Linked DNA regions of Drosophila melanogaster. The protein of the gene in region 1 interacts with the protein of each later gene in a pairwise test. Each region holds a gene or a part of one and is shown on either strand. Other genes may lie near its edges.

The links.
Region 2: the proteins of Pex14 (region 1) and Ote interact in a two-hybrid assay, tested with the Drosophila melanogaster proteins (one large-scale study listed by BioGRID).
Region 3: the proteins of Pex14 (region 1) and CG15449 interact in a two-hybrid assay, tested with the Drosophila melanogaster proteins (one large-scale study listed by BioGRID).

What each region holds. Positions count from the first base shown.
Region 1 is NT_037436.4:20,774,309-20,782,877, reverse strand, and holds Pex14 (peroxin 14), read right to left. Parts: upstream 4,080-8,569; 5' UTR 3,946-4,079; coding exon 3,835-3,945; intron 3,776-3,834; coding exon 3,473-3,775; intron 3,201-3,472; coding exon 2,772-3,200; 3' UTR 2,500-2,771; downstream 1-2,499. Other genes in the region: Pcif1 (phosphorylated CTD-interacting factor 1), read left to right, coding at 1-105, 168-293, 359-487, 548-1,220; Pex16 (peroxin 16), read left to right, coding at 4,724-4,835, 4,896-5,809; pitslre, read right to left, coding at 6,171-6,704, 6,825-8,569.
Region 2 is NT_033778.4:18,272,817-18,279,012, reverse strand, and holds Ote (otefin), read left to right. Parts: upstream 1-1,835; 5' UTR 1,836-1,933; coding exon 1,934-3,208; 3' UTR 3,209-3,406; downstream 3,407-6,196. Other genes in the region: pen-2 (presenilin enhancer), read right to left, coding at 944-1,083, 1,158-1,262, 1,332-1,392. UniProt on the Drosophila melanogaster protein: Inner nuclear membrane protein. Involved in the attachment of membrane vesicles to chromatin during nuclear assembly, and is probably required for centrosome maturation and cell cycle progression during mitosis.
Region 3 is NC_004354.4:21,036,724-21,042,430, forward strand, and holds CG15449 (uncharacterized protein), read right to left. Parts: upstream 3,883-5,707; 5' UTR 3,716-3,882; coding exon 3,662-3,715; exon of another isoform or gene 3,437-3,661; coding exon 3,313-3,436; exon of another isoform or gene 3,292-3,312; intron 3,224-3,291; exon of another isoform or gene 3,211-3,223; coding exon 2,993-3,210; 3' UTR 2,791-2,992; downstream 1-2,790. Other genes in the region: Ntf-2 (nuclear transport factor-2), read left to right, coding at 2,023-2,136.

The DNA of each region.
Region 1 (8,569 bases):
GCAGTTTGGTGTAAGCTTCGAGTGCTTCGCCTCGCCATTCAATTCCTATTTCCGACAGTACTGCTCTGCGTTTGCCGACACGGATGCCTACTTCGGTTCCAGGGGGTATGTAGCCAAATAGTGAATTTTAATAAGCTGAATCTAAGTGAAATGTGTGACCTTTACAGGCCCTTCCTCGACTTCAAGCCCGTTTCCGGTTCCTTCCAAGTAAACCCTCCTCATTGCGAGGAGCTGATTGAGGCTTCTTTGCTGCACATCGACAAACTGCTCACGGACACCATGGAGCCTCTGAGGTGAGATTAAACATCGGTTTGATGTTGCTTATGAGTATAATACAATTTGTTCTTGTTTTACTCAGCTTTATTGTGTTTCTGCCGGAGTGGAAGAGCATATCCAAGCTGGACGACAGCATGTACAAGCGCCGTTCAATGGTGGTATTGGGCATGGCCCACGAGTACAGACACGGCTATCAGCACATGTTGCAAAAGTAAGTTAGTTAAACTTATGCTTTTCCCATTCATACTTATTTAACTCCGTTAATTTCCAGGTCTGATGTGCTGATCAAGTGCATGCAGGGCACACAGGTGGTGTGGTTGCAAAATAGCGCCGGATACGCGCGATGGGGACCCAATGAAATTCGCGTGGAGGCACTGCGTGAGGCCTTCAGGCCACAACGAGATCGGGAGCGTGAGCGGGCTGCAGCTGCGGCGGCAGCAGCTGGGGTAACCTCCAGCCAGCAATCGCCATCGACGCCCCCATCCGCCGCATCCACGGCTCCAACAACCAACTCCTGTACGATCAGTGGAGTCAATAGCAACAGCTCATCCACAGCCACTACAACGAGCACAAGCAGCAGCCCGTCGCTGACCACAACATCGTCCTCAATGTCGCCACTGTCCCCGCACACGCCCACCGGGAATCCGCCGCCACAGTTTCCGATGACCATCAGCAACACCAGCAGTAGCAGCAATTTGGTGGCCGCCTCGCCCACAATGAGTGTGCAAAGCGATTGCTCTTCGCCCTCCTCGTCGACGATGTCTCTTTCACCGGCTCCTGCTTCGGGCGGCTATCCGGATGGAGTGACATCTGCCACAGCGGCAGCGGTGAGCATTACGGCAACGACTACCACATCGGCTGCTGGAGCGGGATCTGCATTTGGCCAGGCCAATAGCATCAGTAGTTCCGCATCCACGCAAGCGGTCATCAACTCAGCCGTCTAGATTTGATTCTTTTTGGGATCTTGCTATCCACACATGGTTCTATTTTGTCCATACTATCTGTGCACTTTCTGTTAGCATAAATTAGGGTTACATTTGAGGAAGAAAAAACCAATTGGGCCTGAAGCCACACTAGCGGCCATGCTCCCAGTTCTGAGGTTTAGTTTTGTGTAATCGGATGATAATCGCTTTAATTTAAACAAACGCGGAAGCCAAAGGGATGGCAACTTCTGTTTTTCCGAAAAAGTACAACTATCCAATTCCGTTTTCAAAATGTATCGTTGGAACCAGGAAAACGCATATACATATTACGCAATATTTTGTAATTTCTTATTTTAAAAACTTAATTTGTAACGTTACACATCGCTCGGTGTTAATCAAATGATGCCTGTCCGAATGGTAAATTACGTTTGGGTCAAACAACAGGCTTTAAAACACTAAATATTTTGTTACACATTTTTGTACTTCTTGTCAAAGCTTTAATTTTCAAACGTACACATTTTTGTACTTCTTGTCAAAGCTTTAATTTTCAAACGTACACAGTGCTCGGCCTTTGGCAGCTGGTATTGCCCCCATCGCAAGGTATAATTAATTGTAAATATGTTATATTTAATTTGAAATAGCTGATAAAAATGCCGGCCTGGCCGCTGTTTATCTTATACGATTGTACCCAACAAACAAGGGCCAAGCTACCCAACAAAAGACTCTAATAATGCATACATAGTATGGGTAGGGGTACTGTTCTCTATCCTTGTTTCAGGGTATTTCGCAATGGTTTGTCCATTCACAAAACGAAGTGAGAAATAAAGAACACATTCATGTGAACTGTGAAGCCCTTAACAATCGTTTGTGAGAATATTAACTTACTAGAATACATTAACTTTTACGAAAATGGCAAACAATTATTTGAATACTAAATTATCGTATGTACAAATCGATAACTAACGTAAGTAGTGAAGGAAATTTAATGAAGGGAATGCGCAGAGAACCAAATTTGTAATTGAAACAAAACCATAACTAGGCACCGCACAATAAATAAATAATTTAAATCCGTTAAGGATCTGGGTGGAGTCTTCAAGGAGCTTGTAGGCAAAACCTCGAGGTGCTCCGCCCGGCATAATCTTAAATCAAACCTAAGGGAATTTAGCCAATTTATAGAAAGTAGCACTCGGCAAAATTTTTAGAATCCAATTATCGTCTAAGTCGAAATTTATTGTCTAAACCGATATGCTATCCCCACCCCGTATGTACCGATAAACAAAAAACTACACAAAGCATTTTTGCGCTTAATTAAACAGTTTCTTTCAATTCAAACCTGTTATTATGTAAACTTTTTATTATTACATTGTATAGACATCGTATCGCATAAGTGTGTATATGTGAGTGTGTGTATGTACTTTTGGATATGGATTAGCTGTTGACTATAAAGAAACCTTAAATGCTATAAACGCAAAGAAAAAAAACCAAAAGTCTTGAAGGCATTTAACGGGGAAACTCAATTTACAGCGTAACTATATACTACGTCTATATAGCCAGCCTCGTATTCTGATTGCATTACATGATCTCCAAGCTGGAGTCACTATTCTTGGTGACCACCTCTGTCTCCGACGAGCCAGACCCGGATCCAGCATCATCGCCCTTCTCGTTGTCGTCCGACCCGCTGTGCCGGTGATGGTGATGCGGTGAGCCGGCCAATTGCCAGGCGGGAATGGATGGCACTGCGATCGGAGCCACAGGGCCGGCGAACTGTTTTCGGTTCAAAAGCAGGCCCTTAATGGCATCCAGATCGCTACGGAAGTTACTAAATTCGCGGTTCAGCTGCTGGGCGTGTTCCCTTTGCTGTGTGGTGATCAGATCCCTGACCGCCAAAATCTCCTTGTTGAGGTCGTTGGTGCGGGTCTCTACCTTCTTGTCTATGTCGTCCAGGACTTCATCGACCGCCTTCTTCTTGGACTTGCCGAACAGGTAGGGCGCAATGTATTGCTGAAATTATACGGGTTTTAGAAGTTATTAGCAATCATGGACTTTGGACTGGTGGACCACTTAAAACTTATTTATGCGTCCTAACACTTTTACAAAATGTGTTAAATACTAAGTAAATTCAACGTCGTCTGGTAAAAGTGTCATCAAATATATGTGTAATGTATCTAAGCCTTAGACAAGATGGCGATCTTTAAATTCGCACTCGAGTTGGTGGAGTAAATATAATAAATCTTTTTAAAAGACCCCGAAATAGAGATCCCACTGCATCTCACCTTCCAGAAGATGTAGACTGCGTAGACGACTCCGCTGAACAGGGCTGCCGAATGGATGATTTCCCTGATCCGGCCCAAGACAGTCGGCTGCGGCTGCAGCGCGTGCAATTGGGATCCAATGCTAATGACGGTGTTCGGATTCGGATTGGGCTTGTTGGGGTCTTGGGTGAAAACGCCGGCCCGTTCACAGGCCAGCTGAATTTCGTGAGCGGTGAGACCTTTGGACCGTAGGAACTGCTGCTTCTGGATAAGTGTCGTGTGGCGCACCTTGGTGTTTTGTAGAAAACTGACTGCAGTGGTTATCTGCGGCGAATAGTCGGATTATAGATTAGGCAAACTTGAAGGGGTTGAACAAATATTACCAGCGATTCTCGAGGCAATTGCTCATCTACGCCGGCCTCGACATCGTTCTGCACCGAGGTAGCCGTCGCCATGACGGTGGTGTCCCCAGTGTCCGTGTTGTTGCTGGACATCTGTATATCGACTCTTAATTCAATCTTGCCTAGCTAATACACACGAAAACGGAGTGAATCCGAATTCACGAGCAATTCGATTACAAAGTGCACAAAAACAAAAGTGTGACCAAAGACTTTGCTGCTCTCGAAATTACTAATGCATTAGCGTTTCTAGGGTTATTATGTATAACGTTAAGGTAATTTGTAACGTAATAAAGATTTGAACTTGGAAAAATGTTTTTACCGAAAAATTTGGTAAGAAATGTTTCTATTATAAAGAACATAGTACCTGGGCTAAAATTTTAAATGCATAATATACCCAATAAAAATATACTGCAGTATAAAGAATCAGGAAACTTGAATTAAGATGCCGAGACTAAACAAGCAAATCTTTACATTGAAGAACATTAAAAGGGGCTATGAAAGGTTGGTGGCAGATATGCCAAATGTGGTTCTTACAAATTGTGGGTCCTTAATTATTAGTTTCTTTTTCTATGACGTGTAAGCACCAATGTGGTAAAATTTGAAAGTGTAATGGCGATAAGCTCGTGACACTGGTATTTGGTATTTATTTTTGTACCAATTTTATTAATCCAAAGCGTTTAATCAACGCTCTCCGTGCTTGCATTCATATATGTATTCATTTTGCGTCACCTTCTATTTTGTGTTGCATGAAAGCACTAACGCCTTGTTCAAAACGCCAGAACACCACAACTGCACCGATTTGATTACCTGTAGACCGAAACACCTCATTATTTTTATTATTTGGAGGAACAGACAATATTTTCCGGATATAATGGACACTCTGAAGGGCATGCTGAAGGCGTACGAGGCGTGGGTGGGCAAAAACCCCGACGTGGTGGGGGATTTTGAGACCACAGCCAAGTGGGTATCCTACTTTATAGCAGGTAAAGTGAACTCCTTGCTTACATAGAGCCTACAGACTCATCTCATTGGCCGGCTTCCAGGTCGCATTTCCTCATCAAATGTGGTCAGTGAGCTGGTATATACACTGTCAAACATGCTGGTGTTCTACAACGACCGGATCATCGAAAAGGCACGCAATTCCGAGGAGAATTCGGTGATCCACCTGCAATCGAAACTTTGCTACCGTCTAAAGGTCACGTTGACGACGCTCGAATATAGCGAGGTTTTCATCGAGATATCAGCCCGTCGGCTTTTCGGTCAATCCGGCAAGTGGCTGGTGATAGCGCTAATACAGGCCTTCAAGGCAGCGGGCCGTTTCTTTATCTTGAAACACTCAACCTCGGATATAATCACCTCACCGCCCATCGCCGCACTGAATCGAAGGGCCAAACAGAGGAAGAATTCGGGGGATGGTGTGGCCTCCTCCACGAACGATTTATTGCAGTCCCAGCACTCCATTACCTTCCAATTGAAGCGATCTGGCCGTGTGATTCGTAAAGTGGAGGGTGCTCCTCCCCTGCAATACCGCGACTTCAAGCTTCATATAGACAACAATGAAGCGGCGAAGACGCAAATTCCGAGGAAACTCCTGCAAGCAGAATACCTGTATATATCGAAGCCACTAATCCACCTGGTCGCCATGGGGCTGTTCGGCCGGAGAAGTTGGAAGCAATATATGGTAGCATTATCCATTGATTTGTATAGCATTCACCTCTACCGCCAGCATCGCGACCTAATGTCCAAGCAACAAAAACTGGAGCTGAGCAGGCGATGCATAAACATCATGTACTTCCTGGTCCGATCGCCGTTCTATGACAGCTTCACCAAATCCAGACTGGAGCGGATCCTCGACTTTGTGGCCACAAGTGTGCCCATTGCTAAGGTGGTTGCCAAACCCCTTAAAGATTACATTCCCACGTGGCAAAGCACTTACTTCTATCTGTGGTCCACTTAGGCATTTCAGGTAGAGCGTTAGTATTCCCCTAGGCTAAGTTTTAAAGTTACAGGTGTGGACGCATTCGGAGTGTTGAGGGTGGGTTGAGTTTTGGTCCTTGAAAAGTTGTTTGCACAATAAAACGATGGAGTAATTTTCGATATGTTTATAGCCAACTTTCATATTCCTTGAATTGACCCACCCACATGGCATTGCCGCTCTTGAGGTGAAAAATGATTATACATCCCAATTGCTTTGTATGGCTTTTTAAATTATATATGGAACAATATTTATACACATACAATTAAACGAAATTTTCCACTTACATCGCTAACTATACATAACAATTAATCGTAATCGTAATGGGCTAAAACACACAGAATCAGAACTTCAGACTGAATCCCGGTCCCATGGCCAACTGGCGCTGCGTTATTCCAGCGTTCAGGACAAATCCCGTGCTAGCCGACGATCCACCAGCTCCGTGGCTCTTCTTGTTGCCAGTGATAATCCCAGATGAGAGCTTGTTTCCCGGTCCCACGATGATGGGCTCGTCGCGGCCTAGTTGCTTGAACTGCGAGCCACCGGATGGCGGTTTGGGGGAAGAGGCTTGCGCCTTGCGGGCTCCCAACTCGCTCTTGGCCGGCCAGGTGGGAAACATGGATGGATCGATGGGCAATGGCAGCTCCTTGAAGAAGCCGTGCTTTAGTGCCGCGTCGGCGCTCAGTCTTTGTTTCGGATCGTACGTCAGCAGACCCTGCAGCAGCGACAAGCCCATTTCAGAGGTCTTCTCCTGGAAGTGCTTGCGCAGTTGCGAGACGGGATACTCGGTAAACTGAGAGTTCTGCGACAACATGTTCTTCACGGCTGGGAGCTCGGTGTATCCTGGCCAGATCTTCTCGTTCGGAGTTCCCAATTCCTAGAACAATAAATCAAAAGTCAATAAGCATTCTCGGCAAATGAATTTCAAAGTTAATACTAACAATTGTTCAACAAGCTTATTTTAATAACTAAACTTTAATGCTCAACCACAGCTTACCTTAAAGATCCTGTTAAGCTCATCGATTTCAGATTTTCCCGGAAAGAGCGGCAGCATCTGCAAGAATTCGGCGAAAATGCAGCCTACCGACCAGACGTCTATGGGCGTGGAGTAAACCGGCGAGCAGAGAAGGAGCTCGGGTGCACGATACCAGAGAGTGACAACAAGTGAGGTATACTTCTTGATCGGCGATCCATACTCCCTTGCCAATCCGAAATCACCCACCTTGAGAATGCCCTTGTGGGACAAGAGGAGATTGGAGGTCTTCAGGTCACGATGCAATATCCAATTGTCATGGAGGTGGGCCACCGCCCGCAGAAGCTGCTGCGTCAGACATTTGACTTCTCCGGGGAAAAAGCTCTGCTTACGATTTTTCATCGTTTCCATCAGGGATTTCAGGTCGTGTTCTACATAGTCCATCACAATAAATATCTTATCCATGTTGGATCCGACCACGATCTCGCGAACGGTCACAATATTCGGGTGCTGACCCTTGAGAAGAGTGTTGATCTCCCTGAGTGATGTTATCGGAAATCCCTCCTTTTCCTTCTCCATTTTCAGACGCTTAAGAGCCACAATCTCATTGGTTCTTTTGTCCTTGGCTCGATATACCACTCCATAGGTTCCCTCTTCGATGCGGTTTAGACACTGGAATTCCTCCACAGACCGGCAGCCCTGCACACCGGGATAATAGTTGGGCAGGGGAATGCCCTTGTCATCGCACGGAATTTGCTCCTCCAGAGACTTCTGTTTCTCTTTGAGTTTCTCCTCGGGCTTCTCTTCCGGCTGCTCTTGGGTCATTCCACGTTCCTCGCTGCGTGTGCTGCTGCTGGGTGAGGCATCTGCCCCCACGTCTTGACGATCTACCTCATCCTCTAGGCTGCTTTGACTTCTAGAACGGGATCTGGACCGACTGCTTCGACTGGACTGGGAGCTGCTCTTGGAGCTTACAGAGCGAGATCGCTGACGTTGCTTGGGCGACTTGTATAGCTCACCCACGCTAAGTGGACTGTCGGGTAAGGGTAAATCCTCGTCATCGTCTTCCAATTGAGACTTGGATTTAATCTTGCTCTTCTTTTTGCTAGCATAGCTGTCTTCGCTTCCAGACTCTGTTGCGCTTCCTTCGCTGTCTTGCTCAGGAACCTCCTCGTTTGAGTCGCTCTCCTCGCTTTCCTCATCGTCATCATCTCGGATAACCTCGATATCATCTTCCCGCCGCTTCTTGAGTTTGATTTCCTTCTCATAGTTATCCGGCTTGGACTTCCTCTTCACATGAATGTTCAGACCTGCGGTTACACTTGCAGCCACTGTTGTTGGACTAAGTGCATCACTGTGCTCGTTTCGCTCGCGGAGCAACTCCCGCCGAGCTTCCAGTTCCTCACGAGCCGTCTGTTTTCGCTGGCGGCTTTCCCGTTCAGCGGCAAGAAGTTTTTCCCTGCGAGCCAACAGCTCCAAGTCCTCGGGCACCTTTCGTCTGATAACCTCAACCTCCTCGCGCCACTTGCTGCGATGCGATTTGTGCTGGTGCTGATGGTGGTGCTCCTGCTCAGGACTGTCCAGCAGCTCAATGACTCGGTCGTGACGGTTTTGCTTGTGGGTACTTCGCACAGTTCTCTCCCGCTCTTTGCGTCCTCCCTCCCGGCGATCACTTCTCTCGACCCGATGCTCATAGTTCTCCTCCGTTTCATAATCCTTAACGTAGTTATGGCGCTTTTTCAGCAACCTCGATCGCAGATCCTGTTCCA
Region 2 (6,196 bases), on another chromosome or scaffold:
TTTATGGCACTTAATGTTCTGTAGCCTAAGCCCAAAAAAAAAGAAAAACTGAATGAGAAAGCTCCCATCTGGCCCTCAAAAATCCCGCTTCCTATCCCAAATACACATTGATTCTTTAGAATTTATAAATAAAACAAGTATTGATTGTAAATATACCTTAAAGCGAGTCTTTTGTATTGTAAATTAGTTCCACTGATTGATTTGGTGGCCCTGCTTAGGTGCTTTGCCACCAAGTTCGTGTTATAAACATTAATACATAATATTGTAATTTACTATATGTGTTGGCAGCATTTGCTGTTAACCGCAAACGAAATGCAAGCGATTTACCGAATAATAGCAATTTGAATTATGTCTTCATGTGTAGATCGGCGAGTGTTTTCCTTACACTCATTTAGGAGTCGCTAGGTTTTTTGACATTCTTAATGCAATTTGTAATCAAATCGTAGGAGGCATTCGACTCACGGATACAAACACACAACATAACAAAACAATTAAATGGGATTTAACAAATTACCATAATGGCTTATGCAACGGTACAAGCAGAGTTTTATACAAATTATGTATTTTAGAGATGGATAAAGCGCATTGAATTGAATTCGAAACAATGAAATTGTATCTAAGCAAAGAATGTAATCCACAAAATGGCTAACTAAAGCTAAATCAAGCATTCAAATATGGGCGGACGAATATGAACAAAACACATAACTAGCGGCTAAGAAATTTCAACAAAATATAGTACACATATTTAAAGTATACAGAAAATTATAAAAAACAAAAACAGCTTTAGATGTGAATAAAAAATATGTAATTAAATCAAAACAGCACTTCTTTTGTTTGGGTCATATACGGGAACTTCTGATGGATTAATAATAAACGTTAATTTTGTTTAGGAATGAAGTCTTTTTTAATATCATTAGTTGCTAACGAATTAATCTAGTTATGTCTATGCACTGCCTAGGGGTATGATGAAGCTCATATAGTCCGCTGTGGCGCCCCAGGCTGTGCGATTTGTCTGGAATATTATTATCCAGGCAGTTAGTACTATCAGCCAGAATAGAGTCCCCACTGCAGAGTATATAACATCTGGAGGAAGGTAGGAAAGAAATTGTGGAATATTAGACTGTATGGCATGGGCATCTATTCATATATTGACTTACATCTCTTTATTTGGCTCTGCTCCGAAAATGGTGGCTTATGGAAGGCCTCCGTGAAAAACCAGCAAACGTTAATGGCCCACACAAAGGGCAGAAATGCAAAGCCAGCTAAGTTCGAGACAAATAGAAAGTAACTTGGTTAAAATCCAATCATTACTCATTGGTAGTAACTCTTACCAAAGAAGTATTTGCGACACAGCTCCAGTTTTCGCGGATTTGGTGCCTTTGAGATGTCCATGATTAATCCTCTTCAAATATGTGGGTGTTTGCTCCTTTGTTTTCGAATCTGTTTCCGGCCCAGGAAAGTTTTTTCGTACTTATATGTAAATTGTATGTAATATGTAAATTGTAATAGCTTATATTTTCACTTCAATTTTTGCTTTTGTTGATTTGTGTTTTAGTTTTTAGTCCATTGGAGCGCAATCGATATCGATAAGTTATCGAAACAGAGGTGAGCTAAACTGCGACTCTTGGATCACTGTTTCATTTGCCAATATCTAACGTAAATAACGATATAATAATATAGCATAGATGTTTTATTACGTTTGCACGATTTTGCGATGTGTGCGATGATTAGTATGAAACATCATTCCTTGTGTTCCCTTTTTTTAAAACGCCAAAACTGTTACAAGTCAAGCCCACTTCAGTGTTGTATATCCCCTAAAACAGAATCATCGATAGGTAATACTGCTGCCATCACTATTTTAGCACACACCGCGTAAAAGCGACGCCGATTTCAATTTTCAACGAATTATTAAAAGTGTGCGAAAAACCATACAATGGCCGATGTGGACGATTTTGATTCTCTGTCCAATGCTGAGTTGCGCGCCAAGATGCTGGCACAGGGGCTGCCCAACATCCCCGTGACGGATAGCAGCCGGAAGGTTCTAGTAAAGCGTCTGCGCGCCTCCATTGGTGGCCAGGCGTCGCCGGCCGCTAGTCCCAAGAAGACCAACAGGCGGGAGACCCTGGCTCCCGCACCTGGTGCACCATCTGCTCCGGCGGCAGCCTCCACGCCGGTGGACAAGCTGGATGGCAACAAGGTGGCGCCCGCCACAAAGGCTCGGCGCACAATTACCGCTGCAGAGGCCAAGGAACCAGTGCGTCGATTACCCGAGGAAGCTATACGCCGACGCCCCGACGAAGCCGACCGCCTACGATCCGAGGAGCCCGTTGCCGCCAGGAAGCCAACAACTGCTCCTGCTGCTCAACCCGTACAGACCCGGCGCACTTCCACCTCCTCGGGGTCTGAAAGGAAAGTAGTGGAGCCCTTGAGGAAGCCAGAAACCATTGTTGAGCAACCGGCTTCCTCGAAGCGCGCTGATCGAGAGGAGAATTATCTTAAGGTCAACTCCCTGATTGTCCTAGAGTCCGATGAAGAAGAGGACGAGCAGCTAGTCCAGGCTGCAGATCTGGTGGAGCAGGAGCACGCGGCCAGACAGAAGACCACGAAGCTCGCAAGCAGCGGCACCACTACGTACGAGTACAAAAGCAAGGTTGTGGAGCCTCCACGCCGACAGGTCTATGAAGCGACAGCAGCTCCCGTGCTGCCGCCATCTGTGCCATCTGCCAGAGCGCAGACCACCAGTTCCACCAGGTCCTATGACTATGCGAGCAACCCAGCACCCGGTCGCTATAGCAGTTTTGTGCGTACTGCAGCCCAAGGCTATGTGACTGCAGAGGCTCCGCCGGTGGCCTCCTACTCATCCAGCTACAAGCGTACCTATGCTAACGAGCTGAGCGACGACACTGATTCCAAGGAAGACCAGTACGAAAGCACATTTGCCAGGAATCTAGCTCGTTTGCGAGCCGAACGGATTGGAGATCGCATCAGCCCGTATTCCAGACGCACTCTGGCCAGTGGAAACGCGGGTAGCGGTTCTCTCGGCTATGAGCCGCGTGCCAGGCGCTCCTTGCGCCCGAATGATAACAGCGTATCCGAGGCCTTTAACCGTTGGTTGAACAGCCTGGAGCAGAAGTATCACATCAAGTCGAAGCTGTTCATTGTACTCCTCGTCCTTTTGTTAATCGGCGTTTATTACATATTCTACTGACCGGCGCATCATTGTTCTTATTTCGAATTTGTAATCTAGTTTGTATACCATGTTGGATATGTTTTGTAAACAAGACTGCCGCCGCGGTCTTTGTATGAATCTTGTTTTGATGTAACTTGAGCTTGAGTTTGACTAGCATTTAAGCTGCGTGTTATCCGTGTTCAAATAAAGCCCACTTGCAGGGAATCTCCACAGTTGAACACTTGCTCTGATGTTTTTTCTCCAAACGGCTTTCGATTCACTGCGCTCCACTTGTGGCAGGTGTTTGCCCAGATTGGATCAAGAAACAGCAGCAAACGACGATCGGCTAATGATGGAAAAGTATCTGGAATGCGTGTACAACACTTGTCGGCATGACTCTGACCAAATGTAGGCGCAATGGCAACCAGGCAAGCGCAGCTCTTATCTGAGCTAAATTGTTCCTGCTGCGATCTGATCTGCGATCCTTGCAATGCCTTGCAATCAGAATTAATAAGAATTTTACAAGTCGGCTCGGCGGCCGGTGTGCGTTATTTTAAAATCCTTGCCCGAGTTGGGCTGTTTAATTTTATTAACTGGAAATCGCACTTGCGCGTATTTCTTTATTTTCTTAAGGAAATTTCGCGCCATATTTAGCGGTAACAAGCGCGACCGGATCCGGGTCTGACTTGCATGCCAGCAATAAGTTATGAAAATTGCAACATCAGTGGCTCGGGGGAAATGCCAGTTGTGCTGGGGATGTTGCTGCCACGGCTGCCACGGCCGCCACGACCGCCAGTCGCCGCCGATGATGAATTCCACAAATGCATGGAACAGCCAGGCGGCAGATTCCTTGAAAAACAAAGCCATGGCCCATACAATATATCGTGTGGCTAATAAATACGCCGCGCATTGCTAGTTGCTCTTAATGAAATTAACTTCCAGGAATTACCTACATGGCAGCAACGATGCAGACGACAACCACGATCACTTTGACGACTGTCCCGAAGTGCAACAAAGCAACTGCAACAGTCGCAGCAACAGTCGCAGCAATTCGAAAAGGCAACAATGGCTGCTTAGGCAAATGCAACAAGCCATCGGCCATGGAAATTAAATGGAAGCCTGCAAAAAGTTTCACGCACTCGACACGTTAATAGAGTCGTAGCACCCAGAGCAACATCAGGTCCACCAGCTGCAGCAGCAGCAGCAGCAAAACCACCAGCACCAACACCCAACACCAGAACCCCGCAGGAACATCAGCGCCCAAGAGCAACACACCCGCGTCCCAGCAGCTTCCCATCTTCGGTTGCCGCCGCTCAAGTGTGACATTCATGGAATATGATTTTATGGCCAAAACCGAAACTTTTGTCTGCATCACGTTCGCGGCTGGAGGGAAAACAAGGAGTGGGCTAGTAAAACAGCCGGATGGTGGACTATGAAGGTGGCGGTGGTGACTCGACTGCCTGGCTGCTGGGCCAATGACTTCCTCGTTGTGAGCCAATTAAAGACGCTGGTCGTTGTGGTCGCTGCTGAAATCATTTGTAATGCAACGTTTGGAATAATTCACGCGCAAATTGCTTGCGACTCGCGAAAAATATTGCAACATTCCACTGCAAATTTTACGATTATGCGTTTGCACCACAACACAAACTGTTGCTGCTGCTGTTGGTCGCTAGTTGCTGTTGCTGCTGCTAGTTGCTGCTGCTGTTGCTAGTTGCTGTTGCAGCAACACATTCGCTCGTAGGCGCTCACATCACATCAAATCAAATGTAAGCGGTGCCGGGCATTCAACGCTGTCAGTTGCCAGTGCTCCAGATAGATAAATCAGTCGGCTAATTGTTCCAACCTGGCCGGTCTCCAAACTCAGCGCCTGGGAGCGTGAACTCTGCTCGGAAGGATGTGGGTACATTTCTTAGATGGGTTCTAAATTTCTAGAATTTGAATTCCTAATCGAATCATGTTTGCCTCTACACATAATTAATCGTAAGGGATGACATTTTTATGCAAAGACCCAGAGATCAAAGTTGAACATCGAAACATCGCATATGTGGAGAGATTGGACATTTTAATTCCATAAATAATGACAGTATGTCTCTAAACAGACAGTCAGTGTCTGCCCACTCTATAAGGCCGAAAGAAATCATTTATTTATTTATTTTTCAAACACGGTATGTTGGATATTACTGGGCATATTGGTTTTTGGAGATTTTTGATTTCCAGATGGGAAACGTAAGTATGAGGTATACATTTTTAAACTTATTTGAAGAAAAGTTGGTAAGATTTTGAAGGTTTTGCTGAAACACAAAACAAATTTAATTCATTCCCTTGAAGTTCGGGAGTAATATAATGATATACTTTCAGCCTGTATTGAATAATCCAAATCCAATTGTTAGGTATCAAGTGTCTCGAGTTGTTTGGAACTAAAGTTCTGACTGGCTCCATGTCCGATCATCTCTGTGGCGGCGGCAGTGTCTTTTGGGCTGACTACTCGTTGTCAAGTTGTGGACCACAGCGACCAATCAGTGTCAGCTGGAAGTGGCTTTTTTAGTGGCCCAAAGTGATGAGCTAATCAACCTGACCTGACCAGTCCAGTCCCACAGTTGCGGCCAGATCGGTGTGGTGTGCCTATTTTAATAACATTATTTATGTATCTTGCTTGTATTTCGGTTTATTTTCGTATGTTTTGTGTATTGTTTTGTTTGATTTAACAGGAATTGGAATTAGAAATAGAAATGAGGCGAAACAAAGTGGGCAACGAGCTGGGGTTTCCTCCATTTTGTTTGTTTTTTAGGTGTCAATCGCATTAGACGGAAATCAGTTTTGTTTTTTATTGTACAAATTTATCGCATTTCGAGGCTCATTTGGATTTGGTTACCATTTTCAGTGCCAAAGACTGTGCTGTCTCCCTGCTGCCCGGCTGCTCGGTTTTTATGGAAAATTAAACATTTTAAACTGGCCACGAGATAATTTGTGGTATATGCGATATCTGGTGGGTTGGCGGAGGACAGTGTGTGTTTGTGTGTGGTCTCC
Region 3 (5,707 bases), on another chromosome or scaffold:
ATTAGCACTGCCGACCAATTCAATCGATTTTCTTTTCAAGTTTTGAATTTTATTTTTGGTCTTTTCAACACGTAAATGCTTGACAATCGTTTTTGTAACAAATAGAACGTTTTGTTTTGGCTTTCACATAAGAACATTATTTATTTTGCACTGTTTCCCATTTATTTGTTATCATGTATGGGCTTTATTAAGCCTGCCACTTTATTCCATTAAGTGTTCTTCATTCTAAGATACATTATACCCGTTACTAGTGCAGTTAAAGAGTATACTATATTCGTTAAAAAGTATGTAACATGTAGAAGCAATCGTTTTCGACAAAATGTAGTATATATATTCTTGATCAGGATCAATAGCCGAGTCGATCTGGCCCTCTCCATATGAACGTCGAGATCTCAGGAACTATAAAAGCTAGAAGGTTGATATTAAGCAGACCGATCCTAGAGACACCGACGCAGCGCAAGTTTGTTGATCCATGTTGCCACGCCCACTCATATTGTTCAATATGAAATTTCGCGTTCTCACTTCCAGTCGGAAAAGTCGACCATAGCATTCTCTCTTGTTTTGAATATAATATCCATTGACTTATTGATGCAGTTATAGTAGGTAGATAAATGAAATGAATTTTAAAAAGAGTAACTGCCTCAATGTATTTTACGATACCTTATTGTTCAAAGTGGATATATGTAGAGACGTAGAAGCAAATTTCAATCGCCCATCACTTAAGATATGAAATCATTCATCATTCTTCCGTAAAGTCGTAAGGGCAGTGCTATTTGCCGACCGCCGCTGCATCTATTATTCCATATAAGTCACCTGAATCTGAATCGAATATCTCAATTCTGGTTATTACAAAACGAAACACAAATGCCAAAACAAACCAATGCAGACCGACGAGGATCAGCCGCATGCCTATATTCAGACCTTCGTATTGAAGCCGGTGGGCGGCAGTTTCTTTGTGCAGCACGATATATTCCGACTCTCGCTGCACGATGTGTAGCACCAGCGAGCCCGACCTGCCACGCCCAGTCCACAGACTCCAGCGCCCGGCTATATGTGTGTAAATCGAGATCGAGATCAGCAGCCAAACGATCAGCCAGCAGACACGAGACGAGAGCCAGTTAAAAAACGAAAGAAATCCATATCTAAGCGATAAGATAGTTCTGCTGCTTGTCGACCTTATGCCGCCCAGCCATGCCCACTCCGCCCACATATACAAAAATATTTATCCTTGGCGTCTCGTCGTCGTCCAATTTCTTCTAATTATTCTCACAGTACGTGAATGTCCAACGAAAATTAATCAAATCAAAATGTTGCGCATTTCATTTCGTGCATGGTTTTCGTTGATTTTGAGTTGGATTTGCTCTTTCTTTCGGTTGGTCGCTGGGGACCTGGAACCTCCTAATAATGCAATTTTAATGTAACACAAACAATTTCTGTAACCTCTATTGCTTTACATTTTTAACTAAACGGTTTATATTTATATTATATTTTTAGATGCTTTCAATTGATATTGCACTTATAAAAATTCTGTTTTTCATTTGTTACAAAACCAAATACCAATTGACTAGTCTTAACTTGCATATTGTTTTGTTCAATAGCTCGAAGAAGAGAACTGTAAATATCCCAAATTGTTAAGCGCACCCTAATATGCCTTAAAAAAAAAACTTTCAAATGTTGTTCAATTTTGAATGGAACTGAGGAAAGTTTTGAGAAGTTCTTATATCAGTGAATAATAATTTTGCTCGCACATTTGGTATAAAGTTTATTCTGCTCGTGAAAATGTTTTGGAGTTATGTTCAATTTATCGAGCGAGCCCTGTACAGTAAACACGCACCTTACACGATCAATCGGCTGCCAGTTGTACACCCTTTCCCTCTGACCCTGGCTTCAAACTGTGTGTACTCCATTCATATCTAACTCAATACGTTGAAATTGGTTTTTCGCACGCTTGTGTTATTGACTTTAAATGTGACTGGTTTGCCTGGCATCTGCTAACGTATTTATGATTTCATTCCTTTGCAGTGCGATGACGATCCCCCACATGCCTTCTCGCAGGTCTTTTTCCTGAAGGCCAACGCAGGCACCTTCTTTGTGGCCCACGACATCTTCCGTCTCAACATCCACAACTCTGCCTAGGAGCACTCCACTTACCTACGTATGCACACCACTCAGCACCACACATAATCGACATCCAAAGATGCCCAGCGCCAGATGATAACAACAAGCTCGGCAGTGGAACTCAGAAAAAAAAAATATAACAAAGCCAGCCAGCGGTCTCACGATTATCAGCAAATACAAAAGTTAGAAAAAGAAAAAAAAAAAAAAAACAATAAAAAAATAAGAAAATAACGCTAACTACTATTACGATGTCAACAAAATGGGCCGCCAGCTCACCTTCATTTGTGTCCCATTGTTGCCGGTACTCTCGCTTTACGATCCACGGAACCCTAGAATTATATGTTCTGCGAACACCTGGATCTCGCGATCTAATTTAGCTAGGACTATCGAATTTGGTGGTATGTGCCGTGCTACAAGCTCGTATTTCGAATTCCCGTGAAATGAGCAGGAACAGCAGGCCGGGATCATCGCCTACATAAGTTTAGAGTGATTTTCTAGACCGTTTATATTTCCAATTGAATTATTTGTACTTTAATTATGAGGATTATTTTAGATAGCCGTATTGCAAATGTATTGTGTCGAGTGTCTCGCTCTGTAAACAATTACTTGAGTACCGGGACTGCACCACACACAGTCGCAAGTATCGACTCTTGCTTTCTCATATGACTAATTGAGCGATGGCGAATTACTTTTTATTGAGAGAAAAAAAAAACACTTAAATATAAAGATAAACGTTAACAGTTTGGTTGTTTGTATGATTGGCGGAATGGCCAGTTGAACCGGAAAGATATGTATACCCTTATAAGCTATTAAATGCATACGAAAGAAGCTCCAGCGGATCTGGCCAGTGGTTTCCGTCTAAAAACTGAACGATTCACTTGTCGCGAAATGTGAACACCGCATCGAATCCGAATAGCACCCCATTGACGATGGACAGCGAGGCCTTGATGAGCGCGAGATCCCGAGTTCGGGTGCGGAAGGAGAACTCCCAGGCCTCAATGATGAACACACCGCTGGCCACGAACAAGGTGCAGCCCAGGACGCTGAAGAATATATCGATGCGCTTGTGAATGGGTGCCCGCATCAGAACGCCTGCAATTGCAAGGTATCTTAAGTAGATTTGTGTGCAAATTTCGTTTTTGGTTAACTTATTTTAGTATTTTAACTCTTAAGGACTGGCATTCCAAGGCGTACCTGCAAAGACCCCGATGACCACTATGATGTAGCCCGTGAAGGTGCCAGTGGCCAGGAACGAAGTCATTATATCGCGATCGTTGAAGCTGTAGAAGTGGAGCACCAGACACGCTACCGCAAAACCCTGGAAAAGTGAGGGGATTTTCATTTGTGGTGCTTCTTGGTGTTCTTATAATTTCCGAGTCTATCTGGTATTTCGGGTCTTTTCTTTTAATTCCCAAGTCGTTTTTTTTTTTTTTTTTTTTTTTTTTGACAAACCATTGTTTAGTAAGCATACGCGTTGCTTTTTGCATTAATTCATTAATCCTTAGAACTTGCAGTAAAATCACTTGAAAAAAAAATCCTTTACCAGTTCGAGAAACTTGACCACATTGAGGCGGCCTTTTCGCTCGCCATGAGACATTTTGTGAAACTGCTGCCGCTGACAGTCCTCGAAAATGTGGTCCAGCTTGAAAATGTACGTGTCGCAACTCAAGAAAGTTCCAAAGTTCTTCCGATTGGCCTCTTTGGAGCGTGCTCGCGACGGCAGAGCGCTGGACAAACTGATTCTGATTCGGAAATGGATGACGGATGGCAGGCAAATGCGGCTGCAGTTTGCAGTTGGGCGCAGTCGGGCCCAGCCAGCGAAATTAATTAATTACACTTAGGAAATAGGCTTTTCATTCTTGTTCCCATCCCTGTGTATCCGCCCACGTCCACCACGTCCGCCGGGCCTCTCGGTTCCATCTCTGAAGTGGAGACCGTCTGCGTTCTCCGCTGCCAGCTGCACTCGAGCCCCATCCCTTCCAGCTTGATTGAGTGGAGCATAATGTCTGTATCTGCATGCATGCTCTGTGCCGGTGGGTGGCCAGTGGACAGTGGGCAGCCGCCCAATGGACTCGGACTCATTGTGCTCGCATTGCCATTACCCCAAATTTGCTGCCTAACCTTCGGGGCCCAAGATCGGAGCTAATTCGCGGAATCGGGGCCAACGGGTCGCCAATTTTCCGATGGTAATCAAGTGGATAATGGAAAACATATCGCCGGGGAAATCACTTCCTCAAATCATGAATAATCTTATGGACTTCATGGGAATTATTAGGTTGTAAGGTTGTGTTGCAACGCTTTTCAGATATAAAAGTGGATTTGTAATGCATGGAATATATTTTTTAATATATTACAAGTACTGTACTTTTTAAGTGCAATTAAAAGCTTAGAGCAACATAAAAAGTAAGCCGAATTTTATATACCCTTCACCTATAGTAACTTAGCTACCACTAGCTTGGACGACTACAGTCGTCCTGTTTTAATAAAATGTATTTTATTTCTATTTATTTTTCCTGTATTTTTTACGAACGTTAAACTGCAAATCCCATTCCGCTCGCTCCTAGTTCAGCTAAATTATATAGTTTATATAAAATTAGATTAGTAATTACATTTCCGACCCGGCCTGTTATTGCCTTATCTAATACCTGCAATAGGTTTAATAGTTTAAGTAAATACGATTACGTGGAAATAAACAGACACGGTAAGATTTAGTTGGGTGTCAATTCTGACTAAAAATATATATCTAAGTAATATATACTTTGTTCCTGACTAAAACAATAACACTTCCTGTGTTCTATGGTCAATTTGAAAACATGCAAAATAAGTTGTTACAGCTGAACAAATCTATTTTTAATTTTTAAATTAGTTCTCTATAGAGTGTTTATGCCACATGTTGAACCTATTTATCTTAACTTAACATCAACTGCTTTATTAATTTCAAAACCTAACCATTAAAATAAATATATGTTTTTAGAATAATTTCGGCTGGTAGCAAGCAGAAGTACATATACGATTATTTATTATCAAAAGCCCAGCTTATCAGTTTGAAGGCAACTTTTGATATGATTCAACGCAGACACAGGTGCGCATTGAAACTATATTTAGACCTTCTTATCGCTTCAATGTTTTGATTAATCCGTATTTTCTGTTTCAATTTTGAAAATGCATTTTTCAAGACCTTACTACCAGAACGAAATCCAATTGAGCTTTGGCAAGCTTTTTGTTTCAGCAATTTTACGGTAATTAGCAGCAATTCCCATGCTATTGTAGTTCTATTAAAAGTTAATCGCCAGCACTTTACAGTGACAGCAAAACTAGTTATACTAGTTGCGAACTATGATCGAAAATGATACCCCACCGAGCTACATGGTTACAAGACTAAGAATTTTTCAGGTACAACTTTCACTGAAATATAGAACTCCGAAAATAATGCATTGTAAGAGAATACAAGAAAAATTATTCAGCATGTTGATAAATTCAAATTAAATAGAAGAAAACATTTTCCGAACTACCTAATCTATATAATCAATCATAAAACCCGAAACAAAATCGGAATTTAAAGAACAAGATTCACTCAAATCGATATACC